Caenorhabditis elegans: one gene and its partner. The protein of the gene in region 1 interacts with the protein of each later gene in a pairwise test. Each region holds a gene or a part of one and is shown on either strand. Other genes may lie near its edges.

What was found.
Region 2: the proteins of T01B7.5 (region 1) and F54D10.7 interact in a two-hybrid assay, tested with the Caenorhabditis elegans proteins (2 studies listed by BioGRID).

The regions. Positions count from the first base shown.
Region 1 is NC_003280.10:8,711,216-8,729,503, reverse strand, and holds T01B7.5 (Sas10 C-terminal domain-containing protein), read right to left. Parts: upstream 12,671-18,288; 5' UTR 12,660-12,670; coding exon 12,637-12,659; intron 12,585-12,636; coding exon 12,379-12,584; intron 12,335-12,378; coding exon 12,111-12,334; exon of another isoform or gene 12,068-12,110; coding exon 11,981-12,067; intron 11,116-11,980; coding exon 11,009-11,115; intron 10,962-11,008; coding exon 10,841-10,961; intron 10,796-10,840; coding exon 10,637-10,795; intron 10,471-10,636; coding exon 10,318-10,470; intron 9,572-10,317; coding exon 9,428-9,571; 3' UTR 9,423-9,427; intron 7,992-9,422; 3' UTR 7,819-7,991; downstream 1-7,818. Other genes in the region: nssp-20 (Activin_recp domain-containing protein), read left to right, coding at 2,725-2,848, 3,194-3,320, 3,372-3,432, 3,762-3,881; trcs-2 (TRansport of membrane to Cell Surface), read right to left, coding at 4,474-4,750, 4,801-5,486, 5,535-6,134, 6,182-6,817, 6,868-7,008; T01B7.13 (uncharacterized protein), read right to left, coding at 13,787-13,883, 13,933-14,087; cyn-11 (Peptidyl-prolyl cis-trans isomerase 11), read left to right, coding at 13,224-13,325, 13,380-13,538, 13,584-13,764, 14,202-14,311; Ras-related protein Rab-21, read left to right, coding at 14,496-14,633, 14,757-14,924, 14,970-15,177, 15,244-15,353.
Region 2 is NC_003280.10:3,815,487-3,830,379, reverse strand, and holds F54D10.7 (Ubiquitin-like domain-containing protein), read left to right. Parts: upstream 1-9,083; 5' UTR 9,084-9,098; coding exon 9,099-9,209; intron 9,210-9,259; coding exon 9,260-9,679; intron 9,680-9,894; coding exon 9,895-10,158; 3' UTR 10,159-10,231; downstream 10,232-14,893. Other genes in the region: F54D10.9 (Sushi domain-containing protein), read left to right, coding at 1-39, 138-355, 421-553, 610-796; gtnt-31 (Glycosyltransferase family 92 protein), read left to right, coding at 2,501-2,579, 2,631-2,770, 2,846-3,128, 3,386-3,483, 3,534-3,686, 3,943-4,230, 4,276-4,361, 4,421-4,667; skr-15 (Skp1-related protein), read right to left, coding at 5,671-6,225; fbxa-24 (DUF38 domain-containing protein), read right to left, coding at 12,216-12,425, 12,473-12,922.

The DNA of each region.
Region 1 (18,288 bases):
TTTTCAAATTGCTTGTATAAATCAGTTGGTGCCTGGTTACTAGTTCACAAGGCAGCATACAGTTTGAATTGGTTAGTTACAAATGTGGAATAAGTCTGTCAGTCAGTTTTTCATTGTTTCTTTCAGAAGTTAAATCTTACCCAAAGCTCATGCTAGATATCGCTGAGATTGCACCCAAGAACTTGCTTATTCGAATTCTTTCCAATATTTAACTCAAATTTAAATCATACACATATTTTTGAAGATTATTGCCTGCGGAACTGTAGGTGTTTCTCCTAGTAGATTAGTTATAATTTTTAATTCTGTGTTCCAATTCCAAAAAGCGTGAAGATAATAAGTGTCGATCTGACTGGACACTTGGATGTTTCTTACTCCATCAAAAGCGGCTCGGCGAGTTGACCTAATCTCAAGGGAGTTGTTAACTTATGAAACAACTTCTCTTCACAAGACTTCTTGAGACAACTTCATCTGTTTGTACATCTCAACCGCAATTAAAGACTCTCTTTTTCGATAACTTGTGTCTCTTTTCACACAGTGTCAGTAACTAAGCTAATAAGGACGATGGTTTTCTAACCAAGCCACTTTGTGCTTACGTGCTTGAGCGGATTTACGGCTTATTTTTATTCTTTTTTGAGTTTCAAGTCGATATTTTTATTGAAGTTTTTAAGACGATATCTTCAATAACTTGTACCAATTTTAGTTTTTCTTCTGAACCTTGGTGTTTGATAATGTCAAAACAAATAATCTTCCGATTTGAAAATTTTATCGAAATTTCATAACCGACTAGACTGCTTAGGTATGATATGTGATTGAAAAAAATTAAAATGGTATTAAAAAGTTGTCATCTTGAGCTTCAAGAAAATAAAATTTAGTTCTCCTGAGGACACCTGTAAATCTGTAAAATTAACTTTCAAATTCAGTACTGTATTCAGTGAATTTCATATGATTCGCAGTAAACCCCCGAGTCTTATAAACTTCCCGCGCCCGCAGATTGGTTCTCCAAGATTTTACTTTTGATAGAAATTTAATTTATTAGATTCCCATTTTTTATATGAAGAACTGGTTTTTTTCGAGATTCTCTCTCTACAAATTAGTATTCAAAATCTCAAGACAGTATACCGTATACGAAATTAAATCCTGACACACTTCTTCGTCGCTTTGAATAGTGATATGACCTATTGAGGTGTTGCTCTGTGTCCTCTGTCTCAATTTCTTCTCGACTCTCCACACCTTCTTCTCTCATATATTATTTATAACAGTTTGACAGGTGTCCTTCCAAAATGTTTGCCCTCCAGTTTCTAATACCTTCATTTTCCGCGAATATGCCTCGAGGCTCTTCTGAGTTTTGCACATTTCAATTCATTTCATATTCATCTTAATAATGAAAAATATATTTAGAGGTTTTTATTTTTGGTTCAATTTTTCTCGAGCCTTCTTTTCCTCTGTGTTGTGCCATCATATTTCATTTCGAGTCGTTTCTACAATATTTACTCGCAATATGAGAGTCCCTTCTTCATATTCGTCGTCCTCACTGCCACGGCGCTGTCGTTGCACCATCGCCTTCCGCGTTTATCTCGGATTTCATCAATTTTTTGTTACTCTTTCGTTTGAATCCACGATAGCCATAACCAGTCTTTTTGATGGGTTCGAAAGTGCATGAGAGACACATTGAATCTTGATTGTTTCTTTCTTTTTTCGGGTTACGGAAAAACGGAAATGTTTATTTTTGAATTTGTTTGATCCAAGCCACTTTGTTCCAAATCTTTCAAATGTTCCAAATCTCCAAATCTTTCCAAATCTTTCAAATAAAACAAGTTAATTCAACTTGAAGGTTCTCCAAAATTTACTCCTGACCAAAGTTTAACTTCTTACTAAATAATTTATCTAACAACTCGTTTTTTCAAGAGGACTGTTTTGTAGATGATAGTTTGATAAGTTTTCTAACGCCTTCTATATCTGAAAAAGTGAGTCTAAAAATTGACAATATTAGCTTTAATTTATTTAAACTCCCATTCTTCTAACTAGTCAGCTTACAATTTGATTATATACAAAGTTTTGAAAAATGACATAAAGTAGACTTGTTAATAAATTTATAAAACAAAATTCGGAAGCTATTAATTGTTTTTTTTTCTAAACTGTGTATTGAATTAAGTTGGTAAATTAGCGGATATTGTTAACTTTCTTCAAATTGAAAAATCAATTTTTCAAAATATATAATTACTTTACAACAATCATAAGCAAGAACATTTGATGTGTTCATATATGTGTGGGCCCTCCGCAAATCTCTTTTTTCCTTTTTTGTTCCAGAAAAGAAACAGGAGATAATTGATGGCGGCTGCCAACGTCCCCGGAGATGGCTGACTGACTAGGGGTTGGGAAAGGAGCACGGATAAATATTTCTCTCGTTCTTTTTAGTTATTAAGAGGACCACAGAGTTTCTCTTGTTCCAATCTCCAGCATGATTTTGAAGACAGTTGTTCGTTAGTTTTTGACATGTCAAAATATTGGTCTCTTAACAGCCCATCATTCATAAAGGGTATTTCTCCACTTTTTCAACTTTTACAAAATCTCAAGAATTTTAAAAACTTATTTTCACACTCTATTTTCAGAATTTTCCATATTTTCCATATTATTCCTTTTCCTTTTATCAAACGTGACACTATTTGTTTCAGAAACTTCACAATTAAATATTTAATTTTTTAGGTGAAGTGAGACTGAAATGTGATGAGGCAGTCGACGAGTCATATCTGTTCACTTCTTTTACTTATATTCGTATATTTTGGTGACGCTTACAAAAATTACGAATCCAGTAGGAATCGACAAGCAGTTGGGTACCAAATTGAAAATGGTAAGATTCCTTTTCGAAAGCTTTGAGAAATTTTAAGCCTTCGCTAAAAATCTATGATTTTCAAAATACATTTTCTGCTCATCTTCGGTAACACATACCTAGGTTACCTTGGGTGTTATCCAAAATTTTAAAACTTAAAAGTACATTATTTATTCTCTAGTTGTGTTGTTATATACTGCTTAATATTGTTATGTTGAACTGAGATGACAAAAAGAGAAAATACAGTAAATAAATGTAAACCAACAAAAATACTTTTTTTTACACTCGAGAAACTATGATTTGAGTCTGTAAAAGTATTCTTGAATCTAAACTTGGCAAGTTCGAACATTTCAATTAAATTTGCAGTTATGAAACTTCGATGTCATCAATGTAATCAACCACGAGACTGTTCAACAGGAGTTTGCTATGGTGATATTTGTGTCAAATCACTTGTTAATAATCATTATGTGAGCAAAGGATGTGAGAATCTCACGTGAGTTATTTCCATCTCAACATAACCTATGAATTCATTTCAAACATTCAGGATCTCAAGCAGTGTATATGAACCACATCTTAAAATGAGAACTTATTGTAAAGAAGAAGAGGTAAGTCTTTTTGTGCATATTTTGTATATTTTCTTTTGCTTAAATTTTTTTTTTTGATTTTTCAAACAATTTCAACTTTTGGCAGGTTGCAAAATTAACAAAAATTTAAACTTTTTGAAAAATTATCAGCAATGTCGCGTTTTTTTAAAACTCTTACAGTCTTTAGATACAAATTTTCGACACATAATTAACTTATAAAGCTGGTCTAGGCTATGTTGGACTAAAAGCCCAATTTAGGCCCCGCCCATTTCTTGGTTTTTAGAGAGAAAAACCAGAAAACTATTACTTCTTAAAAAAATAGAGATTTTCCTGTAATTAAATTATTGTAGGTATTAGGAGTGGATACAATCAACTGCTATTGCCGTGATGCAGATTTCTGTAATTCGGTACCTACTCATCATTTTACATTATTTTCATGCATTGCTCTTATATTACTTTTACGGTTATAATCCTTGTTCGCCAACTCAAATGCTCTTCCATTCTCATTCGTCTTTCATGTTATTCAATATTTAGACTAACAGATAAATAATTGATATTTGTTTTCTAGAATTCGACTCAAGATATTTATTAAATAATACTTAATGGGGCAAACAACTTGGAACAGTTGATGGCAATACAAAAAAAAACAAAGAATAAAACTGAGTGGAGACATGATGAATTTGAACTGTTTTCAGTTATAGGTTGGAAATTATAAAATAGTGATATAAACTAATACAAGATGATAAAAAGATAGAACAGGTTGTGTGAGTATCTCGTCAGAGGGGGAGAAGCACTGGGCGACTCGAGAAAATGTCGAAAAGTCATGAGAACGGGATGGTGGGATAGTCATGAGAACAGGGAACAGTGAGCTATGAAAGGGGCATTTTATGATTTCTCAAGGGCGGCCCACGCCAGTTTAAGGAAAGCAATTTGAAAATGATAGATGTCGGAAATCTATCCGGACATATATTAGAGGAAAGATGGATAAACGAGAAAATGAAAAAAGAAAAACCATAGAAATGGTTAAAATTATTAGAATAAAATTGGCAATTGGAAAACGATTTAACGATGGTTAGATAAACTGAAGAGCTTGCGTTTCGCATCAACGCGTTTGAATGTTTCTGGATCACTTGCGGCGAAAGCAGCGATAAAATGTGGATTTTGCCAAAGATCCCAAATCAGTTGCTCCGTCCCACATGTGCATGAATCGGCTTCTGAGTGTGTTGCTGATGTTGCTGGTTTCAATTCTTCTTCGACGAGTGGCATTGGTTTAAGAATATCGTTGGCATTTGGCATCATTTTCTGATAGATCGGAAGGTCCATATGTGGAAATCCATACCTGAAAATTTTACATTGATTTACTGAGAAAAATAATTTTTTCAAACTTACGAGAATGAGCTGTTGAATGGATTGTTACCATTTGTAGCTGCTTCAAGACTTGACCAGCAGTTTGTCTCCTCAACGGGCTCATTTCCATCCGACTTTAATCCTGGAGATGATGCTTCTGATTGTGTATTTCGCAGATCACTGATTGGTCCAGAATTCACAACACTTGAGGTGGAAGGTTGAGATATGGAAGCAGTAAGTTCAGTGAAGAAGTTATCTGCAGAGAAAGTGGAACTAATCGGGCCAAATGATGAACCGAGAAAATTGTCTTGTTGCTGGAAATAATGTAAGGGCTCTTCTTGCTTCGCCTCAACTGGAGTCCCACTCCACACTGATCCAAGTCGGAGGTGTCCGAGACCGTTTGTCATTGGAATGCTTGAAGTCATTTTGAAATCATAAGCGAGGTCAGTTGAAAGTGGTACTGCTGGAAGTCCTGGTGGTGGTGGAAGACCTGGTGGAGCAACTAGGCCTGGTGGTACAAATCCAGGAGGTGGTAGAGCCGTGTTCGTTTCTTCCACAAAGATATTATCATCCTCGTCTCCAGTAACTGTTGGAAAGTCTTGTACAGATGGTTGAGCTGCAGGTGAACCAAGATTTTTTAAGTTCCAGCAATTTTTGGCTGGAGGAGGTGCAGCTTGAACTCGTTGAACAGGAGTTGGAGGAATAACTTGTTTCTTCGGTATTGGTTGCTGAAATTGGAAAATACTTAACTCTCGTTTTAGATTAGTATAACTTACCTCATACATCATTGGGAAGTGCTTTTCGCCACTTCCATTGATAATAGAATGAACTTTTGGAAAACGTTCAACTTTCTCCATTGTAGTGACCAAAACACATCTCATTGCATGTCTTCCATGACGTTCTTGAGCGTAATATGTGATGCGAACAAGTGTTCCAGTAGGTGGGATGTTTCCACTATTCAGGTCAATTACTTTTGCAAATGCAGTTCGTTTCAATCCCTTCTCGTCAAACTTAGCAAGGAAGATGCTCGGATTTTCGGGTCCATCTACAACTGATTGGATCTTCCAATTGTCCTCCGTTTTCAGCATTCTTGAGTTCTCGTCGACAATTTGATCATATTCTTGTTCTTCGACAAGAGAAGAACCACAGGCGACCCATGGAATATCATCATGTTTTCCGTTGTAAGCAATCTCTAGATGAACAGGTGTGAACGGAAGTGGTTTTGATGCCTGCATATATCGATCAGTACTGTTCCATGGAATGTAGATTCTCCCAACATGATCGTTCCACGCCCAACCAGCTTTTCCATGTGAAACCTTATTCATAATAGCACTTATGGTTATCGTAAGAGGAGTCAACTTTCTAATTGGATAGATCTGCAAAAAAAACAAATTAGTATTAATTTTACTCTAGTTTAAATTACCGAGCCCATATCTTCAGGATTACTTCCCATCAGCTTAGACGTCTTGACATCGGAAACACGACGCCCATCAAAGGTTATAAAACGACCTGGTCTCATCCAACTTTCATACAACGTAGGTGCAAATTCAACATTTTGGCAAGTGGGAGAAGTCACAGATATCACGTAATTGTCAGAGATATCATAGATAACACCCGATTGAGCTTGAACAAATTCAACTGATTGATGATCCGATTGTCGTTGAACGGCGGTTGGAGGCCCCAATTTCTTCATATGTGAGGTATTTTGAATGTCCGTAGGAGTAGGTGGTACGCTTGTCGTCTTTCTAGTATCATCATAAATAGCCCATGCTACAAACTTGCAGCCGTGAGCTTCTTCTTGACGGAAAATGTATATGAGATAAGGTTTGTCGATATATGCTCCTTGTCCGTACCAACACGCTCCATTCGTCGTTCTTGTTGAAAAAGGAACAAAAACTTTCGCAGTTCTTCCATGAATTGAAACATGCCCAAATTTTAATTGTTCATCCAAATAAGAAAGACTTCCATAAACTTGTAAAAGATCAGTTGGTTTAATTGCTGTCAATGCACTATAACGACCATTTTGAAGTTGAGCAGAAAATATTAAATGATCACCATTCTGTAAGTTATTTTCTAAAGTTCTTTGAAGCCACGATTCGAAGAACTTACCTCTGGTTCATAATATTTCTTTTCATAATTCAACCGTAAAGCACTATCAGGTAAGTCAACTAGACGATTATGTTGTTTTTCCAAAATCACACAAGATCTACCGGTTTTCCGAACATGTCCATCTCCTAAAATCTTCGACATCATTCGACTATCGAGTGCAATGCTGAAATAATATTAATGAAATTACGTTTAAATCAATTTGATTTGAGGTTTAAAGCGGAAAGAATAAGAGAAAAAAAGAGAAGAAAATTGGAAAATCGGTGAGGGAGAAGGAAAGTGAGAGCGATGGTTATGCAAGCTGTGATAAAGAGAAAAATGTGAGCTCGACGGATGCACAAAGGACCGTCTGCCAGTCTTATAAGAAAAAATAACATGAGCAGATAAAAAAGTGCAAAGATTGGGGGAGCATTGGGGAACAGTACTCGTCCGCCCATTACGTGAAGCCTCGGTAACGAGCAGCTGAAATTACAGTGACACTCTGATTCTAAGAAATTCAGGAAATATAATATTGCGAAAATGCCACAGAAACAGGTGAATTTCTAAGCTGAAAACCAGTGCTTGTCTCAGTTAGTCACTGCAGCTCACCGAGCATCGGAGATGTTTGCTTCAACACTCTGATAATTATAGGTTTATATCTAAGCGAGCTTTTTGGGGAAACGAAAGACACTGAGCCGACTGAATGGAATGTAAAATGAGAAAATGTAGAATGAGGCGGAGCTGCGAGCTGATATGTGTTGGTGGGGAGAATGACTGTTGCCAAGACAATCAAATCTCCAGAGGGGAAATGAATCTATCATAATCAATGAGGAGCCATGTGATAACAATGTATGAAGATAATAATGAAGAAGTAATGTGAATATGGGAAATGACAATAATAAGATAATAGAAGAAAGATATTCGTCGGGTTTCAAACCGATATAAGGCAATAAAATAATTATTTTCAATAAAATTGAAAACTCAACTTCATTTTGGTAGAAAGGGCGATTTTAGGAACAAAAAAAATCAACAACGAAGGTTAACAGGATAAATGAAAAATGAATAAATCAAAGAAAACAAGATATTAACGATCAAAAAAACCAGGAAAGTCCAGCTGAATGCAGTGGCAACGGAGAAATTGATGACACCTGAAAATTAAATTGGTTGAAAAGGTAATGCAATGTTGAGAAAATTGATAAAAATTAATTTTCAACCGTTGATATCAGAAGTTTTGGATGATAGGCTCTTTTTTTTTTCATAGAAGACACAAAATAAACAAAGGTCATCTATAATTTCTGATGAACGAACATTTTTAGAATTCACACGAGGACTATAACAAAACGATCGATTGTAAAGAAAATAGAAAATGCATTTTTTAATCAGTTCAAAGCCAAGATAATTCAATTTAGAAAAAAAAAAATTAATAATCAAACATGCTGCAGACCACTTTATATCATTGAATAGAAATAGAGAAATATGAAAAACGTCTGCTTATCAATATGTGATATGTGACTACAATTTTCGTCGTAGGCATTTTCCGAGAGCTATGAAACTTTCAGTGAAAAATTGTATGAAAGAAGAAGAGGCTGGAGGCAATAGAATTGATGAATCATAGGAAGACAATCAGAAGAAAGCTTATCATCGAACACGCAAACACACGCAGGCACACACACATATGTGAACGCCATCAATTATTAAATTTTAGCCTAAACTTGATTGAAATAGATCAGTTATTTTCTTTAGCATTCTAGGAAAAAGTAATTTAGTTACGGGTATTCGCCTTTCTGACATGAAACGAGCTATACGAATTATTGAACAAATCCGAAGAGGCTTGGTTTTCGAGAATGACACGTCACAATTACTTTAAATTCTCATCAATGTGTAACACACATCAGACTCAAATCTCAAATTAAAATATTCATTCAGACAGACTAGTCAACACCTTTTCGAATTTGTTGTATTTAAAAAGATTCAAAAATAGAGAAACAGTCTGAAATCACAGTTTTATAGTACACTTTATTGCTCTTATGAAATTATGAACAGCTCGTAGACAATACGAGGTCAGCTGAACTAAAATGGAAAGTAGCAGGTGGCTAGGGCTCCAGTCGTTCATGGGGACGGGGGACACGAATAAAAAATAGGATACTCGCTCTCACACACACACACACGGTGGTGCCAGACCTCGCGCACATATTGCCGGGGTCGAAAAGAGAGGAGCGAAATGACCGATGGAGGAAGAATAAGAAGAAGGCTATCCTCTTTTGATGAATATAGCCCCAAAGTGACCGGGCACACAAAAACACATTCAACCGACTAAAAGGGCAAACGAGAGGAATAGGAAAAGGTTAAACATACGTACCATATGATAAGTAAATTCAGGTTTTTCATTGTTTTTATATGTTGATAGGATATTTATGTTGAAAGTTAATATTCACATTGTTTTCGGTTTCATATGCTAATTATTTTCATGTGTAAAAGAGTGAAGCTCATTTGCGCAGTGGAGAGTGAAGAGTATGTCGCGTGATAAATATGACATGGCACGATATCAGAATGAGATGTCTGCATTACATTCAACTCACTTTTTTTAAGCGATAAGCTTAGTCGACTTGATTGTAGATGCACGAATTCCGCTCGTTTCTCCAGAATATTTCTGCATTTCGCGACGAACGTTTCCAATCTGAGACTTGACGCGCTTCTCGATGGCGTGGACCTTGCGACGATTTTTAGTCTGAAATTAGAAATTATTGAACTGGGAGACTTCAAAAAAAAAAACACACAACGCAGCTAATTGGGAGTTGCAGTAAAAATGAGCATAGTATACGTAACCAAGGATGAAACTCTCAAGTGTCGTCGCCTAGACGTTGAATTGTCTATGTCACAGTGAGTCTATTTTATTTCTTTCAAGAAAAATTAAGATTAAACAAAATCGTATTACTTATCTGTCTGAATAAGTCATGGTTATATGCTTCATTTGTGCTCGGTTTTCTTTTTGAGTTAAAATATGCTTCAGATAATTCATTACACTACGCTTTTTAAAAAACTTTTTTTGAATTCAGTAGCAAGCAGGTGTGATACTGAATTAATTATTTTCTTATCACAACTCTCGAAAAAGAATCTTAAAAAAATAGAAACCAAATAAGCAAGTTGAGATTTCGGCAGCCAATTACTCGCTGTGGTGGGGAGCATAGACGCCGTCTCGACGTATTGGATTTTTGGGTTGGAGCAAAAAATAGAGAGTTATGTAGTGTATTCATATTTTGATCTCACATGAAACTCGGCTTTGTGAGACTTTTTTGTCAAACAAGAATTGTTATTTTTCAAATATATTCATGTATTCGTGAAAGCATTGTAACAACATTTTCATGCACAAGAAATGTCGACCCTACTCATCGAATTATTTTTCATACACTAATTGTTTATGATACAAATATTTTTGGTATTAAAAATAAGATAAAAAATCGAAAATAAAGTTACCTTGCTGGTCTTGGCCTTCTTTTTCCCACGTCGTTCTGCGTATTCACGGTTTTTGGCAACTTTGTCAGAGGCCTTTCTTTTTTCATCTGCATCCATTGGTGTGAAGTGTGGATGAATTGATGTGTTATCAGAAGATGTGATTGTTGAAAGATTCTGAAAAAAGTAAATCCAGATCTTAATCCAATTCAGCTATGTTTCCTGATTTTTATTGACAAAAGAATGTACAATTTTTTTAAATTTTACAAACTTTAAAAATCTTTAAAATATACGGCAAACAAAAAATGTATTTAAATTCGAATAATGTTTTCCCTAAACTTACATTGTTCATAATTGCTCCAAAATTCTTCTTTGTAAGTTGAACATCTCCAACCTTCGAAATCAATTCTTCCATATTTTCTGGCTCCGACTCCGCCCATTTCTTGAGCTCATCCAGATGATCCGAATTCGAATGCAAAAAATCTTCACACTCGGTGATTTTCTGAATTTAAAAGTTTGTATTTGAAATTTAAATCAATCGGAATACCTTTTCAAGTCGTTTCAGCGACTCCACTACAGGATGGATGTCAACAAGTGGATCGTCGAGTTTTTCATTGGAAAACTGTTTGGCTCTGAGATTCAACAGGAATGCTGTGTTCATGAGGTATCTGAAAGATAAATCATAAAAATGGAAATTTAGGAAAAGAAAACATACGATGCATATGTCTGGGCAACGTAGACTAACTGCGATCGCAATGCGCATTTTGGAATCTGCTTGATTACATTTTCAAGAGGCTTCACGACGAGATCGAAGATGCGTTTCTGAAAAGTATAAAAAATTAAAATTAAACCGAAAAAAGGGGAAAATTGAACTGTTAGAATGGTGATGAAAAGAAACAAGTGAAAAGGAAGAAGAGAAAGATAACAACAAGAGAAAATGTTATCAGGTGAAAAGGAAACTGGTCACGAGCTCTCCGGAAACAGCTGTATAACAATTCTTAGCCGCTAATTAGAATTGAAAGTAGCAATATATAATTGAAAAACAGAAAAAGCTGGCGGTCGCTGCCGATATATGTCCAACATCGTTTGGTGTGAATTACAAACCGACCAGGTGAACAGAAACGAGGAAAACAAGACAAGTTATGAGAATAATTAGAATGTGATGTTTGAGGATGAGAACATACGAAACTAACTCGAGCAGTTCAGGCATCGAATTCTTCAGACACCAGAAGGGCACTTTGCTTTCGCTTTTTAATGTTCACACATAACGGCGTCTGATGTTGGATGATTTAAATCGTTTCAATTGTGTGTTTTGTCCGTTGAGAATCATCGTTTAAAGCGAATCGTCCAGCATCCTTAGGCTATGATGGCAACCCGTTTTTGACGTAATCAGAGACGATTGCGCGATTTGAGACCGCTTATCTACTAGCCATCGGTGGTGTTTAGTTGAAAGAATGAAGAGAACAGATGAAGTGAAAACGGGAAGATACTGAAAAAGAGAGAACACGAAAAATTAACCTTGGAAACGATACGAATCAGCATTTGATGTTCACAAGTGATAGCTTCAAAATTTAATAAACTTTCGAGAATTGGCATTAGGAAGAAATAGGAAATTATCACAAGAGGAAGAAGCTGCAACTGATACCGGGAAAAAAGTGAAGAGACATTTTAAAAAATTAGAACTTACTCTTGCTTCAAATTGTTCCAGAGTTTTCACGATTTTTTTGTTCTTTGTCCTTGCATTCTCCTCATTGAATTCTAAAACTGTTTCCACCTAAAACTTTTCATTATTTTAATTATTCTTTCAATTCGTTTACCTCGACAGTTTCTTCTTTTTCTTCCTCATCTTCATCGTCGTCGTCAAATAAATCAGCAATGGCAGCTGTCGATTTGTCGATTTGTTTTTGACGAGTCAACGCATCTTCCTCTTCGAGTTGAGCATCTTCCATTTCTTCTTCACGCATTCCGCCCCAATCTTTATCCACGAATCCAGTTCCATAGAAATCTTTCCTCTTTTTACCCCATTTGTTGTCCGTGATATCTTAAATAAATTACGTTAATCAGGTAATTCAGAAAGAAAACTACCATTAACATCGTCATCATCAAAGTCGGATCCATCGTCTTCACTGCTATCCGATGCTTCTGCTTCAACGTTTAACACCTCTTCTGGACGATTGAATGTTTTTCTTTTGTGAATAGCACCCTTTTCGACTTTTCTGTCTTTGTTATGAAAAGTATTGATTTCATCAATGAGATCATCATTTTCGTCTTCGTATGAGATATGAGCAGATCTGAAAATATATTTAATGATTATTTATAAATTGTGAAAAACATTCAACTTACGCTTTCCCCTTCCTTGATGACATAGTTCTAGTATCTGAAATCCAAAAATTAGCAATTTATAGCATTTTCAACAGAGAAACGGATTGCACCGACCGAAAATAAACCAAATTCTGATTTTCAAATCAATGAATAACTCTAATAAAGTTAATTATGCTTTAATCGTGTGATAAACTTCGATAAATTAATTTTTAAATGAATAGAACGAACTTTTACAAGATAAATTATTCAAAAATTGAATTTTCGAGTTGAATTTGAGAAAAGACGGGGGAAAATTATTAGCGGCAGGGCTTTGTGGGCGGGGTTTCTGATTGCAAACTACCCGCGCACTTTATTATTGTTCTATACACCCATTTAATGCTCACCTTTTTTTGTTTTGAATAGAACGAATATCACTTTTTTCTTGAATATGTCGAATTTTATTGACGAATTTGTATTTCTTGGTTATAAAACTTATGAACGATTAGTTCAGTTGATCCCATTATTCTCGGAAAAACCTGACACATTTCGAAAATACTTATTTCGAATACTTACAGAAAACGTTTTTCTGGTTTTAAAAACTAACTCATTTATATGTTTTCTTTTTCAGAATGACTGAATACGACAAGTTTGCCGAGCAGCTCCGTCATCCGGATAACCCAATCGTTTTTCTAGAAGTTACCGCCGGTGGTGCACCAATCGGAACTATTGTTGTAAGTTGACGACCATTCCAGTTTTAATTTGCTATATATTTCATAATTTTTCAGATCGAGTTATTTGCTGATGTAACACCGAGAACTGCTGAAAACTTTCGTCAGTTCTGTACAGGAGAATACAAAAAAGATGGTGTCCCAAACGGATACAAAAACTGCACATTTCATCGTGTGATCAAGGACTTTATGATTCAGGGTGGCGACTTCTGCAACGTAAGTTTAACAATTTTAAATTTTAAAGTTATATCATTTTTTCAGGGCGATGGAACCGGTTTGATGAGCATCTATGGTTCAAAGTTCCGTGACGAGAATTTCGAGCTGAAGCACATAGGACCAGGAATGCTTTCGATGGCTAACGCTGGCTCTGACACAAATGGTTGTCAGTTTTTTATCACTTGCGCAAAAACCGATTTCCTTGACAACAAACATGTAGTTTTTGGTAATTTTTTTTTATTTCAAATTCACGGATAAGTTGATTTCTGTAGTACAAAGAAAGAAGAATACGGATTGTGATTGTGATAAATGTCTCCAACGTCATTAGTTCTCCATCCCAATCCCCTGAAAGCAGTGTTTTAAAAAGAAAATCGCAAATTTTAATGATACCCACTGATAATGTTGGTGATACATTGATGGTGCCATAGTTGTTGTTTTATACTGATTATATGGGTTGAACATGCCAGCGTTAGCATACAATAAAGGAAGTAATGTTTGCAATGAAACGCATTTTAAAAAGAAAAAAATTAGAACGAGAATGCGTGTCATCGTCTAGCTAAAACAACTAGATTTCCTTATATCCTTATCACCTTTTATACGAGATAAAGCTAGTTAATGACGCCATTGATATGTTTGATATTTCTGACCGATCGTTTATTGCAGGACGAGTACTCGATGGAATGCTGACGGTTCGGAAAATCGAAAATGTTCCAACTGGAGCCAATAACAAGCCGAAACTTCCGATTGTTGTTGTTCAATGTGGCCAACTCTAATTTTCACTGTATTGTTATTTTGATCTCGTTTTGTTATATTCACAATAAACTATTAATTACTTCTGATTATATGGGTTGAAAAATGAAATGAAAAGACAGTATAAGTGACTGTTAGTATATCTGGTTCAGTTTTAAAAGCGAAGTAAAGAAAATAAACCTTCAAAATCGAATACTTTCAGAATAAATGCTCGAAACCAACGTGGATCAGAAGTCGTTCAAATTCAAGATCGTGTTGCTCGGCGAAGGATGTGTTGGTAAATCATCACTTGTGCTTCGATTCGTTGAAAATAAATTCAGCTGCAAACACCTGTCGACGATTCAGGTAATAATTTAGAAAAAGGTTGCGATAGATAATCCAAAAAAATATTTCTGGGTTTTTCTTCATTCAGTTATCAAGATTTTGATATGCATATAAAATATTTTCCAATTGTTCTTCATATTGCAGGCAAGCTTCCAAAACAAAACTGTGAATGTAGAAGACTGCCAAGCTGACCTACACATCTGGGATACCGCTGGACAGGAGAAATACCACGCACTCGGTCCAATCTACTATCGAGGAAGCAATGGCGTGCTACTGGTTTTCGATATCACTGATAGAAAGTCATTTGAAAAGGTATCAAAATATTTTAAAGAGCACCACTGAAATCATTTTTTTAAGGTTAAGAACTGGGTTCTCGAAATAAAAACATGCCTGGGAAATACTGCAGAGATTCTGATAGTCGGGAACAAGATTGATCTTGAAGAAGAACGGCAGGTCACTCGACAGGATGCGGAAGCATACGCAGAATCAGAAGGGGCATTGTATATGGAGACTTCTGCTCAGGACAATGTTGGAATCTCTGATGCTTTTGAATCTTTAACTGCGAGTAAGTTGGCCTAAACGTTTTGCATGGCTTGGGTATTGCCTAAATAAAAAATACCAAAAATTTCAGAAATGATCGAACATTCGCGTACTCGTTCGACAGAACCACCATCTACGAATCGATCCATCCGATTAATTGACAACGACGAAGCAGAAAGGAGTAAAAAGTGCTGTCGCTGATTAAAAGAGCTTAATGAATGCTTGAACACTTCCCCCCTTATACCGGTCACCTGTATTATTTTGTTCATTTTTCCCGATTCTTTTCCTCTACGTCACTTTCCTAGTCGCACTCCTGTCAAACTTTACGCACAATTCATACAATAATAAAATCATATTTCTATCTTAATGGTTCAATTTTTTTTTTTTAATTTTTTTTTTTAATCACTACTGTAGCGCCTGTCGATTTACGAGCTCGAATTTCGAAATGAATTTTTTTAACGTATAGTGACTGCTATACTCCATTTTCCTTCGATTCTTCATATTATTTTCTCATTTTTTGCCTATTTTAATATTCTACGATTCATTTCGAGAATCGATCCCGTAAATCGACACAGGTGCTACCGTAGGCATTTAAAGAATTACTGTAGGTTTCGCTACGTGATATTTTGGGCGTCAAATATGTTGCACAATACGCGTTCTCAGAATTTAGTGCTACTGCGGTAGCTACCGTAATACTGTAGAGATCTAGCGTGATCACCATCAGAATACACAATATTTTTAAAAATAAAAGATCACAGAACAGTGAGCTGATGATAGAAAAAAAATGGATATGTAATACTTGATCATTTATTTTTTCCCTTTAAACTTTCACGCAAATGTTGGCAGGTGTTATTATGTTGAAGCTTGCTCCATTTTCAGTCTCAAAATTTTCAACTTCCTATTCCTGGAAAGATTACTTTCGAGACATTGTTCTGAATAATGTATAATTCCACAACTATATCATTCAAATGCGGTAGCAACTACAATTTGATATCTCAGCTTTTAATATATTTTGTGAATGCCTCCTATCTTGGAGTTGGAGTTTTCCTACATATCTTGATATTAAGAGTTTTATTATTCAAAGAAAGGCAGATATTCCGCAATAACTCGTTTTTTCAAATATATGTGATGGATTCGATTGCAGTGAGTTTCTGAAAGCAGAAGCACGAGTTAATCCATATCTTTCCAGAGCACATTTCTTCTTCTAACTGATATGTTTTTCGTTCGATTATTCATGTATGTACCTCCCCTTTGTGCTATAATTAGTCCTTTTTTCTGGGATCCTTCCATAACAACAAAGTTTGTGTACGTTTCTATGAGTCATGCAAGATTTTCAAAATCAGTTGCTCAAAAAAAAAAGGCGCGCGCCTTTAAAGTCGTAGAAGTGGAAAAAAAAATGCACTGTAACTGAGTGTCTAGTTTCTCAAGAATAATTTAATTATATTTAAACATAATTTAAACTTATGGTTGATTCCGATTGCCAGAATATTAGTTGTTATGTTACCTTTTATTGGTACTTGGAATGTCATAATCTCAAGAGTTTTTGTTTTCCCGTCTGATGGTGGATTTGCGATGAATTATATCAGAAATGTAGAATGGGTCAGTTGAATAAGAATAAAACTTCTATCAGTTTTTATTCAAGTTTTGAATTTTTTAAACCCACTCACTGTTTGAGTTGCATAAATTCCACGAAAATGAGTAGACTTTGGAGAAGCAGATTTCAAAGTACTGGAAACAAGTATAATTTTTTATTCAGGCAGTTTTATCTCTTTTCCAATCAATTTTCATATTTACTGCATTAGGATTTACGATAGTTTGTACATCAATCACTTTATATGGATTATTTGTTCTACCAGACAGGATAAAATCCGCCGAAAAAACTCTTTGCTTTACAAGTTTATTTGTATCGTTATGCTTTCTATTAGTTGGAGTCCTACAGGTTTGAAAATGTGACCAAGGTTTTAAGTCATAGGTATGTTGCAGATTGCCTTTGTGGCATGTTCTGTATGTCGTACTGATTTTAATATTCTTTATTATATGTATTTGATGAGTTTTTGGACGTTTGAGGCGTTTAATGTTGGGTACGTAAATCAAGCAACATGATTTTTTTTCGAGTACCCCTAAATGTAATTTCAGAACTGCACTGGTGATGCTTCTTACTAATAAGCATATACGATCACTTGTTTTCTGTTGGAAGTCCAAGAAAAAATTGATAATAACTTTTGATCTTAAATTTGTGACGAAATCTTTACGCTTTTTTTCGTTATTATCAATTTTTTTTTGAATTTTGAAATGCTTGCTTTTAAAACATATCACTTAAAATTGCCTGACGGAATAGGATGCCTGACGGAATAGGATGACATATACAAACTTTAACAAAACTGATGGTTCCCAAAAATATGGTCCAATAACTGGACAAAGTTGCGGAACGTAGATTACAAGACGATTCAGGAGTGAAGTAAGGATCAAAATAGAGCTCTGAATGATCGAAATTCATTTCTAGAAAATCATGTGTGTTGGAAATTTTGAAAACGAAAGTTTAAAACCTACTTCTATGGAATCCGACACGAAAATCTGAAAGAAAGAACTTCTACTATAGTATTTTCTTTCTTTTAAAACGATAATTCTGATAATTGATAAATGCAGAAATAATCCTATTCCTTGATATATCAGGGTTACAAAATATATTGATATTTCTTTCAGTGGATCATAGTCATTAAAATTGCAAACAAAAGGGATTGAAGAATAGTTATAAGGGTTCATGGCAAGGCGAATGAACAAGAAAATGATGACGAATGAAATCACAGACCAACACCTTGTCAACTTAATTATCCAGAACTTGCAATCTGTTTTTGAGCAACGTAATCTCGTTTTGAAGTATATAGGTGCAGGATATAATAGCACCTTTAAGTGATCAGAGATACTTGTGAAAACTTGAGAATTCGACGAATTTTCAACTGACAATTAACAAGTTTAAACTATGGTACCTTGTTTCAATTGTTTCAATGTAGTTTTTACGTGACTGGTCGGTAAAAAGATGGGGTACTGATGAAATTGAGAATTTAGCACACTGCGAAAAAAAACTATTTTTTAACTGTCACAGCTCATCACCCAGAAAGATGCACATCCAAAGAAA
Region 2 (14,893 bases), 4.9 Mb from region 1:
TGGTATAGTGTACGAGAATGCAAATGGAAATGAATGCTCGTAAGTCTTTCGGCTTAAAGAAGTGGTATAGTTACTACCAAAACAAAGTGCCGTGAAAGCCAAAAAAGAGGTACATAAGCAATAATGTAACACTTCAGATCTGCGTTTACATGCCCAGCAGGAACAGTTGCGTACTTTGACAACGGTGGACCAGATGAAGAGCTGGGAAACTATTATGGTCTTGACACGGTGTATATGTATTGTGCGGAGACTGGTCCCGCAGCCGATATTGGGAGATGGTGGTACAACAAGCCTTTTAACGTGCAAACTTATTTCAATAAGGTTACATGCAGACGAGCTCCAGATCCGCCAACATGTGAGATTTATTACTTGAGCTTGGTCTAGCCTACGCCGAAGCCTACGAATATCAACGTATTCCAGCATGCACGAACTGTCTCCCAGTTTACAACGAGCTTTGCTATGGTCAGGATATTCCAACTCCCACCGACTGGTGCTCGACTGCTGCCGAGATTCCGATTGTCTACGAAATTGATCAATTTAACACTGAATGCTCGTGAGTATCAGTTTTTTTGTCCAAACCTGAAAAAGTCCTAACTTTCTAAATTCCAGAGCAAGGTTCACATGCCCGACGGGAACATATTGGTCGTTGGACACTGGTGGACCTATGGAGATAAGAGGAGATTCGCTGGGATTCACTGAAGCACTTATGTGGTGCGCAGAAACTGGAGCTGATACGGGAAAATGGTTTACAGATTATCAAACTGAGTTCAGTTTGGTTACATGCAGAAATTCGTGAAGTTTTGCTATTATTTTCCATGGTAATGTTAATTAATAATAATAATAATATTAAATATTTCTCCTATGCATAAATTATTTTCCAAACCCCGCTAAAATCGCAGATTTCAATTTTTCGTCGCTGCCGTTTTCATGCCGCCATGGCCTGTTTCATTGTCTTCGTGGTCTTCCTTCTGTGGATAAGATGTAAAGATAAGAAGGACAAAATAAAGTTGTTTTGGTTTCTTTACAATTTCACCTGGGTGATTTTCTCACCTGAAAAACACACAAAATTTCTCGTAAAATTTCTGGAATTTACATTTAAAATTATAGACATTCGATATTTTAAAAAACCTGAAAATGAACTAAAGCTCAATTTTTTTTCAACTGTTAGAGAAATATGAAAAGCTACTAATTGTTCTTTTTGTAAGCTCAAAATGTTATTTTTTTCTAGGACCGATAATTTGTGACTGGAACCGGTTTTCGAAGCCTTTGAGACATGCTGAGAAATTGAAAAGATTTGTGAAGAGATAATTTTCTGGTCCTGAACTTTTTAGAAGTATCTAGAATGAAAATATATTTAGTTTTCAGATTTTTTTTTCCTACTGATTGTAGATTTGGTTAGAAATATCACCGCAAAACAGATATAAAAATTTGAAAAATCCAACCAATCAGCGACGCCAGCCACGCCCACCCATCCGTTGCTGATTGGTCGGTGCCTCACTCATTTGAGAAAGTATTTCCGTAGAATGAGTCCAAAATCCCATCACTGTTCCCCCGTCCCCAATTATTCTCATTTTTAGGGTGTCTTTGCCATGTTTGACACGTTGTCCGGAATTTCTGATCTTTCTGTAGATTAAATCAACATGTACCCAAAATGTGAATAATGAACGCATTCGGAAGAAATTCTCACAGAACAAGGATTAAAACCCAAAGTTGAAGGAGAAAGGCTTTTGGGAAAACTTTCTCCGCTACTTCACTTCAAAAGGCAAAAGGCTTCAAAAGGCGTCTCATTTCCAAGTTATCAATAAATAATCAATTACAAACCGATAGAAAACGATCTACTAAATAATTTATCAGTTGACAAATTTTGCGTAAAACAAACGACAACTGAGATATAAGCTCACAAAGTTGACATGCTAGTGAAGACCGGTAGCGCACGAGGCGAGCAGCAGGAGCTCGCACCTCGCCTTCATCCACACTTTCAGCGGTTCCCCTTAATCCTTTTTCTTCAGCGCCATTTGAGACTCAATTGCCAGAAATCTCCGATCTTTTTTCCGATTAAATCAACATGTACCAAGATGTGAAAAATCAACGTTTTTTGGGATGTAATCTTATTAAAGAAATGATGATAAAGTTAAGGGGTAAAAACTTACGATACAATTTCAAAATGTTGAAAATTGTAAGTTAAAAAAACAATATTTATTTTATTCTATTTGGTTGTAACTAGGTATTCAAAAATAATGTGCCTGCCTCCAAATTAGTGAAAGGTTTACATGTAGGCACCTAGGCACAAAGGCACCTAGGCCTGGATTCTAATAAGTTGCCATTTGAAAATAAGTAAGCTTCTAGAACGTTCCCGCCGACCGTCTTTTTTCACTTCCCTCGTTCTTCTCCGTTGCCATTGTGATCCAAATATTGGCCTGTCTGGTGTACAGATCAAGATAAAAAAGGCCATTCAAACAATATATACCTTCTCCTGGCAGGATTCCTTCATTTATTCAATATGAAGCATTTTCCAAGAATCGCTGTTTTCATTTTGCTGCTGCTTGTTGTTATTGGGCTTTTACTTTATAAGGATTATGGTATTTGTTTTGAAAAAAAAAATGAAAAAAGTTCAGCCAAACTAGTTTCAGTTCAAAAAAGCTACTCTAGAAATCTGGATGGAAAATGTCACGTGGCTTCTTGGAATCAGGTTCATACGGATTCAGAGTTCCAGTCGTATATCGATATGTTTTCTCGGTGGCTATGGAGAAGGTTGAACTTATCAGTTGAAGTAAGTGATTTTTGGAAATTACCAAAAGTTGAATCAAAAAGTCAAAAATTGGATATTTGAGAATAACTTTTTTAGAACAATCAAAACTACACCTCAACCTCCATCCTGGGTGCCTATGTATACCCGAAGCTCATCTCAATATCCCTAACTTCACAATACCTAAGCCAACAGAAAATTTACTGCCGGTACTACGACTGTAAACGGAGAGAACTCTTGGGAAGTGCATATGAGAGTGTAGTCTTTCCCGAATCAGTGGTCCACTGTCCAAGAAGAGCCGGAGCCGAGTTTGTGTCAGTTTCCAGTGGCTTCAACTCGTCTACACCGGAGCCAGTCAGATTGAGCTTCAAGGCTTATGATGGTAAGAAAATTACAGACGGGCGCTTTTTCTGTAATGAGGTACCTTTTTCAACATGTGTGAAGTTCGTGTTCTTGGAGAACTTGATTTTTTTATCGCGGAAAAATCTTTAATTTTTAGTCGCAAAAAAACGTTTTTTTCGATAATTTCCATACACACAGACCTGTTTCAATTTTGAGACATCCAAAAAGAAACAAATTTTTTTCCGACTCCACAATCTGATTCAATTAGTCATAAATTGGAACGACTTGAATTTCCAGAACCCGTCCACGACTTGTCGGTCTGTGTAGCCCCACTCTACGGGAACGAATCAAAATGGCTTCAAATTGTGGATTTTGTGGAGCATATGAAGCTTGAGGTGATGCTGTTTTTTATAGGAATTTTAAGTTTTGTTTTTAAACTTTTTAGGGCGCAACATATTTCTACTTTTATGTCGGAACGATTAATGACTACGATCGGAAAATGTTGACGGAATATGTGAGAACAGGAGATGTTGAGGTCACATTTTTACAGGACAAGTTTGAAAGACCAGCTTATGCATGGCACCTTTTGATGATGCAGGTAAGATTGCCTACGTGCCTACACGCCTATGTGCCTAAGTATGTAGGTGCCTATGTGCCTAATTGCCTAGATATCTAAGTGCCTACTTGTCCATGCATCTAGGTGCCAATGTGTCTACGTAAATAGGTGCCTAGGTGCCTAGGTGTTTAGCTTCACTAAATGCCTAGGTATCTAGGCACCTTTTTGCCCAGGTGCCTAGGCGTCAAGGTTACCTGCGTGCCTACGCTATTGCCTGCATTCTAAATTCCCATTTCAGGATTGCCACCTCCGATCCAAATATCACTCAAAATGGATCACCTTTTTGGATCTGGACGAACGAATCTCGTCTGGAACCGAGTATAATAACCTGCTGGAAGTCATAGAATCCCAACCCAGAAGCGTAGGGGAGCTTCACGTGAGCGTCTTGAATATTCTAAAATATGAAGATACACCTGAAAAGTTCACTTCAATGGAACAGCTGAAAGAAGATATGATGTTCCGGAAATGGACGAACACCATAGATCCCACGTGGAATGCATCAAAGGCTATTGTTAGACCGGAGCAGGTCAGTGGGAGATTTGGGAAATTCAAATATTTTGAGTGATTTCAGATAGGAATAATGTTTATTCACTATGCAATTGCTAAGCAGTTTGGAGTCAACACGGTCAAGCTTAACGCATCTCAAGCCGCTGTCAGGTAAAAGCCCAAAAGTCTTAGAATTTCATAAATCCCCTCACAATAAATAACTTTTCCAGACACTACCGAAATACCCTACACAGAATGGAGGCTCCCGATTGGCATCCCACGGCTCCAACCAAGTCGCCCACAGTCCAAAGATGGCCTTTAAAACCTGAATTTGTGGAAAGCCTGTCAAATGCAATAGTTGCAAAAGTTCAACATGTGTACTGTAAGGTGCCTGTAAATTGTACGACAATTGCGAGGTATTTATGGGAATCGAGGCAATATCCGAATCCGTGTATTTCAATGTCTCCGATATTTTAGTTTTCTTTTTTTCTGATTTATAGCTTGTTTAGTACAAAATAAATGTGTTTTATTAAAATGCTATATGGTTTTTTGTAGAACTTCCCTTTAAGGACAAAACTGGCCACGCGTCTCTTTTGTTAACAATTTGTTTACTTCAATAATTATTGCATTTTTATCATTTCAGTGAATCAAGGCCGCTAGACAGTCCCTGCGGATCATTTTTGGAAAGGAGGAATTCTTTGATCTTCCACGAGTTCAGTCGTTTTACTCATCACCTTCAAATAGCAACCCTTATCGTACACCTTCCTACAACAAAATGTAATTTTTGACATTTTTCAAGACTTTCGTAAACTCCTAATTTAGGTATCTCGGTTTCCCAATTTCGACATCTATAAGATATAATTGCCCTGCTCATTCCATTCAACACCATGCTGCTAAAGCAATTGGAAAGATCGAGAGGACCGAAAGCTTTTGAGACGTGTATTGGGTTCTTTGTATTCTAATGATGAATGAATAAACAAGCATAAACAAGCATCGCGCAGCGCCCTCTAACATAAAATTAGGCGTTTCAGGACAATTTTAGAGATCCTACGAATTTCCACGGATAAATTTCTTTTGAAAATTGATTTGCAAGATGTCTGGATCAGTTTGAACTTAAGTCATGAATAAGTTGTTCTTAGAAAAAGCCAAAAAAAGGGGATTTTATTAGAAAAAATCAAAAATTCGAGGGGGCGCTATAGAAGTTGGGCGCACTGTATGTCTATCCCCCTTGGCAGCCCGAATTTTATTTTTCGTTCACTATGTTTTTTTTAAATAAAAATTGTGAAGGTCACAGATTTTCAAAGACATTTTAGTCTGAAATTAATGAATTTGTTTTTTTGCGTTCTATTCTGAAGAGAGAGCGGGAAAAGTTTTACGTAAACCTGGACAGACAAGGAGCTATTGGTGCGCCTGAGTGCGAACCTCATTAACATTTTTAGACAGAGTTTAAGTTTATTTAAATCAGAAATACGTATGGAAATCATGCAGTTGTATCAGCAGAAGTTGCAGATGCCTCGGTCTTCTCCTTGCCAAACCTCTCCGCTTTCTCATCCTCCTCATCCGTCGGAATGCAGAAAAACACTCTCATCTCTTCCGGCGACATTCCTTTTGCCAAACCCGCGATGAACTTGCAGCAATAAGTCAAAAGTGTCATGACTTCGAGGAAGTTCGAGGCGTTCACCAAATCGGTTAGGGCGTCGTGCTCAATGTCCACGAACTTGCGATCCCACACTGGAAGGACTGTGTTACCAGATGGATAGGCTTCTGGAACCGGGTCGGCCTTGTGATGCTCGCACCATTCAACAACCAGCTTCAAAGTTTTCCCATTGACCTTCTCGATTGGAATCGGGACCATTGACTCGGCGTTCTCAGCGCTGTATCCGAGGTTGGTGATGGAGTTCGAGAGAGTTGCAGATTGTTTGATGGCTTGCTCGCTGATTTTCAAGACCACTCTGTCGTTAGACTCAATGCTGTAGTAGACGACTGGGGTGGCTTCTTCGGCGATTGGAGCAGCAGCAACAGCTTCGGCAGACATGATTTTTCTGGAAAATGGAGAAATGTTAGAAGAAACATAGGAAACAGAACAAAACAGTAAAAGAAACGGAGGAGAACAGTTCCTACTAAACCAGCAAATAAATAGAATGAATGGTGTGTCTGCCATCCACCCTTGCACCTTACAAACGCTGCGTTTTCGATCAATAGGCCCCATCCTGGGAAAACTGGAGGTCCAACGTACTCGCAGTGTTTATGAGTTCTTGGCAAAGTGCCAAGCAGGAAAATACCACAGTAGAGGTAAAAAGGGCCAAAGCTCTGTTGTTTTAAAAACTAGAAAAAACTCATCAAAATTAACGAAAAATGTGAATGTTCTCTAGGAGCATTGCGACTTTGAAACATATTTTGAGCATATTTTCAAAACTTTTAACTGGAAACTAATATATTTTCAAAAAGCACAAGCATTTCTCTATATGTCTATATAAACTTTCAAACAAAAAAAATATAGGGAAAGACGCTAAGTGGAGCAAATATCCTCCAAAACTCGCTAAACTGAGCATCTTCAAACTAGCGTATCTCAAAAAATACTCATCTGGAAAACAAATATTCAACTAACAAAATGATCAGAAATATTTTTTCTTTTTATTAAATTAATTGTTATTTTAATAAACCCACTATTTGTAGAGCCACACAGAGTCAAAGCCATTTTCCAAAATTCACAAAAAATTTTGAGAACTCTTTTGTTGTACCCGTCATAACCCAACATTCATTGAATTTCAGAAGAAAACTTTTAATTAGTTGTATGTGAAAAATATTTTTCCACATTTTATCAGTTTCAAGTTTTTTGATATTTTCATGTTCCGTCAAGTTATAGACCGTTTTCTGAAAAAAATCAAGTTTTGCTCATAAAACTCTTCATATCCAACGTATCGACTTGAAATTTTAAAAAATGCTCACTTTTTTGAGGTCTCTACAATGTCCTAAAAAATCTTTCAAAAAAGCCTGTCCATCTCCAAAATCGTCCTCCGCTCCAAAATAAGAAATGGGACTTTTGCTTTTCGAAAAATAGGCGAAAAAATTAAATTGCGATTTTTGGGTCGAAAAAAATATTTTTAGAAAGCTGAGAACACGCTATTTACGAATTTCATGTTCATTTTAGGTGGTTCCTTTTCTGAAATGACCTAAAAATTTAACAAAAAGAACATAATTTTAATTCTCACGTCAATTTTTTATTCGCAAGAAAACAATTGAAGCACTGAGCAACATGCCAAAAAATTTTACGTGAGAATTAAAATTATGTTCTTTTTGTTTAATTTTTAGGTCATTTCAGAGAAGGAATCAATTAAAATGAACACGAAATTCGTAAATAGCGTGTTCTCAGCTTTCTAAAAATATTTTTTTCGACCCAAAAATCGCAATTTGATTTTTTCGCCCATTTCTCGAGAAGCAAAAGTCCGATTTCATTTTTCGGAGCGAAGGACGATTTTGGAGATGGGCAGGATTTTTTGAAAGATTTTTTAGGACATTGTAGAGACCTCAAAAAAGTGATCATTTTTCAAAATTTCAAGTTTTTACGTTGGATATGAAGAGTTTTATGAGCGAAATTGGATTTTTTCGAAAAACGGTCTGTAACTTGGCGGAACATGAAAATATCAAAAATCTTAAAACTAATAAAACGTGGAGAAATATTTTTTACTTTTTATCCAACAAAATTTATCTTTTCAAATTTGATGGGCGTAGGGTTATGACGGGTACAGCAAAGGAGTTCTCAAAATTTTTTGTGATTTTTGGTAAAATGGCTTTGATGTCTCTACTTAACTCTACAAAAAGTTGGTGTATTGAGATAAAAATTAATGAATTAAAAAGAAAAAATATTTCTGATCATTTTGTTAGTTAAACATTTGTTTTCCAGATGTGTATTTTTCGAGATACGTCAGTTTGAAGATGCACAAAAAAAATCAATTTTAAAACAAATTAAAATCATCATTATTGGCAGCAGAGAGTCTCTGCTGCCAATAATGATGATTTTGGGGTGTGCGGCAAATTTGCCGAATTTGCCGAATTTGCCGAGCACGGCAAATTTCAAAAAAGTAGATTTGCCGAATTTGCCGAGCTCGGCAAATTTCGAAATTTGCCGCATACGTCAAAAATTTGACAGTACAATGTTGACTAAAACTGTTGATTTTTTCGCCAAAAATTTAGTAAAATGACAACAAATTGAGTTATTTTGATGTTTAAGCAGACACACTACACCTAACTTGTTCAGAAACCAGAGGTGTGTTAAGAATTCAGTAGTTTTGGTGCTCCAAAAAATATCAAAAAATATATAATTTTTCCGAGTTTGTTAAGCACGGCAAATTTGCCGAATTTGCCGAATTTGCCGTGCTCGGCAAATATTGGAAAAATAGATTTGCCGAATTTGCCGAGCTCGGCAAATTTTGAGATTTGCCGCACACCCCTGGCAGAGACGGTAGACGGCAAAGAAAGAAATGCTATCTGAGTTTGCCATCTTTAGAGTATGACCGGGACTTTGCAAAATGGTCTGGGCCGGAAAGGAAATGAAAACTCGAAATTTTTATTTAGTAACTGATCGTTGAAAGATCACGTACATATTAGATGACAAGTTGCTCCGCTCATATATTGAGTTTCTGCATTTTTCATCTGTAAGGCGCAGGACAACTACATTTTTTGTGGTTCTTTGTTTTAATAATCTTCAAAAATGCCAAAAAAAAATTGATCTCCCCGCCGCGCACCAATAAAGTGGGTCACTTGCCACGAGGCGATTTCCGATCCCCTTTTACAATCGGTATGCAGGGGAGAGGCTCATTCTCTCATTGATTTGTTTTTTTGTGTGTCCTTTTCCCGTTTTTCTTGTTATTTTAAAATTTAATTAAATTCCAGAAAATAACCTCTGCAATGCCCCCAACTGTTGGAAAATCTACCAATAAAGATGGACCGTCGGATTTGATGTCGGCGTTTGAAAATTTGCGATCTGAAACTGCTGGAATCAATAATTTCCTTGAGAAAGTTTGAATTTGAATTGTATCGGCCTTATTAATATTTATTCCAAATTCCAGGGTCCCACCATCGGTTCGATCACGTCCTTGAGCATTTCCAAATTTGACAAGTTTTGTGAAAATCAGGATAAAGTCAACCAGAAACTGATGCTAGCGATTCAGAAAATGTCCATCGAACGTTCGAAGCGTCAGAAGATCCAAGACGCTTTCAACAAAGAAATGCTCGACGCAATCAGATCTATGAAGAAGGCGTTTGCTCGGGAGAAGGAGGAGTTCAGCGATGATTTGGAGATTTTCAAGGAGGAGCTGTTTGAGAAGCTTGATGAGGATAATGAGACCTCTGAAGACGAAGATGAGGAGGAGGAGAATGATGTTTTGGATGCGATCAAGTTGCTCCAAACTGGACTCGATGCTATGAAAGAGGCACAGAGGGAATTTTTCAAGAAAGTGACTGAGGATACTCAAGCCATCCGGAGAAAGGTAATTTTATGAGATGATTGTGTTCCTTACTTGAGGCTTAGGCTTAATCTTAGGCATAGGCTTAATCTCATGTTCGGCAAACGGCAAATCGGAAACTTGCCAGAAACGGCAAATCGGCCAACCGGCAATTAACCGATTCGCCGAATTTGCCGACAAAAAAATTTGTCAATTGCCGCCCACCCCTGGCCCGTAAATTTAGCAAAAAAATTATTCAGATTGGCTCGAAAAACATAAAGTTCAATGTTATCCTTCACGGAAGCCGAATCCCGATGGAACTGGACTCCCTTGACACAATCTACACGGTCGGAATGGCCCTCCTGAAGCACGGTGGCCTCGCACTGCATCGCCAACGTCTCATGCTCAATGACAAGGAGCTTCAGTATAATCAAACTCTTGAGGAAGCTGGAATTAAGGACGGTTCTGTCATCAAGCAACATACTGATGAAAAGTGTGATGAAGATTGTGAATGTTGTTGTTAATTTATTGAACTTTATTGTTGAATGTGGATATTATTATTATTTGATTAAAAGAAAGATAAATGTTTTATTCAAAAAAACGTGAATCAATTAATTTTTCTGCTACCAATTAAATTCATTTCTCCAAATCTCGGCGACCATGTCGAATTTCCGCTCGGACAATTTGATGTCTGAATTCCAAAAACTTCGCATGGAGACTGCAGATATTGGTTTGGCTCTTGGAAAGGTAACACTTATTTTGTTAGCACCTAATAAATTCTACTTTTCCAGAAGCCAGAAAACTCGGGCATTGTATCCGATTCGCAGCTTGAGAAAGTCATTGAAGAGCAGACAAAACTCAACAAGGAAATCATGGAAGCCGTTCGAAAACTGGAAGTCGAGCGAAAGGAACATCAGGCAAATCAAGAAAAATTCAATAAAGCAATGATGGAGGCTTTTCAAAAACATCGTGATGAAATGAAGGAGAGCATCCATTAAGAACGAAATTTCTCGAAAACCAGAGGCTGCTGTACATGAAAATTTGCCGACGAACGACGCGAAAATCCTCTTCCAACTGACACGTGACGGCAAGCGCGAATGGAGTGAAGCTTTGAAACAGTTCCTATTTGAAACCGAACTCGCAATCAAGAAAGATACCCAGTTGTTTCCAGGGGCGCCGATAGACAGAGAAGAAATCCGTTTCAATGGTGAATGTTTTTTCAACACATTTTCACGTTGTGTGTATCGCGTTTCTGCTGAATTTTAGGGATTTTAAAGCAATTTTCAACAAGCGGGACCGCCCAGAGACTGTTCGCGATGCGATTTACTTAATTTTAACATAAATTTTTCCCCAAATAAGCTCGAAATGAGCTCTGAATTTCGGCGAATCTGAAATTTTTTTTTGACCAAAAACAGAATTTTGCAAATAAAAATTGATTTTAGAGCAATTTATTGCATAAATGTTTAATTTTAGAATTTTTATTATTAGTTTGAATCTTTTTAAAAAGTTTTAGTCATTAATTTGACTGATAACACCGAAAAATGATTTTTCTTTACAACGAAATCGATAAAAAAGTAAAGCAACATTTATCAAGGGAAATCTTGCAAAATTTGTTTAAAAACTTTTATGAAATCAAAGATTTCAATAGAATAAAGCTATAAATCAAGCAAAATCACTAAAAATACAAATAGTTCTGATCAAATTTCAATGTTCCAATCTACCAAGTGATCTGTGATACGCCAAGTTTCTTATGTAAGTGTTGCTTTCCAATTTTCCTTAAAAATGGCTCAAATACTTACACAAATGATCAAATTAACATTTTTTACAAGTTTCGTGTTATATTTTCTTTTCCTTAATAAGGAACCATCAGATTCTTCCTACCCTCTACGGCTCTAGATACCTTAACTTCGACAACTCCTATCTTTTCGGAGAGGCGAGATATGAAAAAGTGATCAACTGAAAACTTGTAGAGCACATCAAAAACTATGATATTCAATTTAAACTACGTTTTTATCTTTCAAGATGGGGGAGTTAGACTTACATTTGTATTGCATACTTTTTGTTATTCTACTGGCTGCTCTAACTCCCTCATCTTGAAAGATAAACACATGATTTTAATTAATTATTATAGTTTTTAATATGTTCTACAATTTCTTAGTTAATCACTTTCTGATATCTTGCCTCTCTGTATGAATTTGAATATTCGAATGATGATAAAAAATTCTCAGTCAAATGCAAAGTGTCTAGTTATATCTCTTACCTTTATATTCGAGCTCTAAAAACCATTTGAAGTTCAAGTGGTGATCTTTGTTTGTTTGTAGAATACTTTAGGAGTTTTAAATTAGTTTTCCTTATTTCATTGTAACTTTTTTTATATATGGTCTGTAAAAATTTCGTAGTAATAAGAAAATACAACTCGAACAGTTTCACATGTTTTCCTGTTTAATTAAAATATTTTTATAGATTTACTTCTACATTTGTATTGTTCATTTGACTTTGATCATGAAAAATATTTCGTTTGTTTATTAATATATTTTTGACAAAAAATCGAATGGCTTCAAAAATAAAACATAAAAGCTTTTCATAACTTTTGCACGAGAAACCAAAAAATAAAACGGGTTAAAAAATTGCATTTAATTACAAAGTTTGCATTATCGATTGAATATTCAATTAGAAACTCATTGCCGCCAGCATAGTCAGGTTTGAACACTTTTGCAATTTCAATTGGATTTGACTTTGATTTGTCACAATTTATACGGCAACCTTGAAATGTACTTCTTCTCATTAGATCCTGAAAAATATTTGATCATCAATTAAAACGCTTTAATTGTAACTTACATCTCTAATTTTGATTGCAATATATGTTGGAAAGTCGTCCAGTTGGATCTGGAACCATTGAAAGTGGAACAGATGATCAATTAGTCTACTTTCAAGCTTATCACCAAGCAGACTGCATTTTTTCGCACATTTCCATTGATCCAGATGAGCAATATTTTCAAACTGATTGTTTATATGGGTTATCCAAAATTCAATGTTCTCCAGAACTTTGGTGTTACAATACTGGAGAATAGTGATGGCATTATTGAATGAGAAATTGTCAAGTTTTATTGTCTTCACGTGAATACATTTAACTGATTTCAAAATTTCAATAAATGATTCTCTCTCGTCTCTCTCTCGTCTCGTTCTCGTTCGTGTTCTCGTGTTCTCGTGTTCATTGCACTCGTTAGAAATTTTTAATTCCGATGTGTGCTTCAATACTGTTTTCAAATCTTGGAATGCTATTTTCATAGAACTTGCTCCTTCGATAGGTGTTGTTTCTTGATTTCCGTACCATCTCACAGTTGAACCTCCGTTATCTGCATTGGCGTATCTGATGTAAATTCCGTCCACGGAGCAGAGATAGAATTATGCTCGAGTCAAGGCCAATTCCAAAAGAGAAATAAACAATCAAAGCGAAAAAAAAAACTATGCCAAGCTAATATCTCATCGGGCCAAAATACAATAAAAAGAAACAAAATAACCCTAAATGTCAAATAACATTCAAACGAAAACTTGTTTCGCTGACCGAACTTGTCCCTCGCTCAATTTTTCAAAATATTTGCGGTATTTTCCTCGCAATTATATGGCTCAAAATAACGTGGCTCTCTTGGCCCTTTTTGGCTCTTTTTTAAATAGCTCTCTGGCTTTTTGGGAAAAAACTGAATCACTAAAGGACTTTAACATTGGAACAAAATAATAATTATCACTGATGTAAAACTCAATCCAGTTCTTCCGATTGTAGTTGGTTCCAACGACTGCAAGGTGGGCATTTTCCCTTTCAAATTGACCGGCCATAGTGAATGCAATCCAAAGTAAATCGGCTGACAAGATATAGATGGAATTAGATAGAATAGTAGCTTGGGGAGGGAGGTGAGCAGAAGAATACAGTAGATGTAATGGTAGTAGCGGTAGTCTTATTAGCACTGGACTGAATCCTTTCGACCTCGATGCTCGCGGAGCTGTCCCCGACCCTGCAGTAGGTCCCACCAAAAACCTGCAGGTGCACACGAGGACAGACTCCTGTCTGTTGGGGACCTCCATTTGAAAGGCTATGGCCTATGCTCGGCCTTAGTTTCAATATCATAGTAAAAACACTTTGATAGTATTTTCAAATACCTTTATTGAGTCGTACTGAGCCGGACGACAAGAGTATTGCTTTCGTCCGGCCAGCAAGTCAGGTCTTTCTCGACTGAAGAATCTTCTACTCGTGAAGGCGTGCCGCCATTTGCTCTCGTGCCTCGTGTCTCTCGTCGTCACGCGCCCATAGACGCGCGACGGCAAGACCACATGACACTAGAATGAGAAGAGATCAAGGACCACTTCCACACGTCTAAGTAAGACTGATTACATGTTGTGAGATAATACGAAATGAGGTAGCTAAAACTTTTTAAACAAATGAGTCAAACGATTTTAGAACATCTTCTTCATCTGCATCGTATCCAACACGTGCCGCTCCACCACCTCCAGCACATGCCCCTTCACCAACACTTCCAATACGTTCTCAATCTCGTGGAATTACTAGAGTTTGTCGAGCTCCTCTACCTCCGGCATCCGGTACCCGTGGGATTGACTAAGGAACCTCAGCTTGGTATCAAAGTTCATATCATAAAGGAAGTGAAACTGAACGTTTTGAGTACTCAAATTGCGAAAAAATGACTCACACTTGATTGAATAGATTATAAACTACATGTCAGCTGAACACTGATAAGAAAATAACTGTGGAAAGCAAGAGAGCAAACAGATAAAGGCTTGCTACTCCTAAAAATTGATATTGATTTGGTGCACTCAACTGTATTTTCTACATTTTTGATTCATTAAAAAACAATTAAATACTAGATTTTCAGCGTTGAACCACAAATATGTCTGCTACAAACCAAGATGCAAAACTTTCAGTAACAAAAGAACGAGTCACACTGCTCAGTATGCCTCTTCATGTGGTAGTTCTGGAAAAGTTGGAGCCGATAGATCTGTGAGTTGCTTTCCGTTGTGTTTTCAAAACGTCCCGTAGAAAATGAGTTGTTACAGCCTTTTTTGTGTCGTCCACAATAATGCAAGGTACGCAAACACCCGAGTTGACGACAAAATGCACAGTTTGGTGTACGAAGTTGTTTTGTTTAATATTATATTTTATCTGGACCTATAATTTCCGATTTTTTGGTAAAGATGTTGGGAAAAAATTTCTCTCTGAAATTTGGGTGATACTACGAATTTTTTTAATTT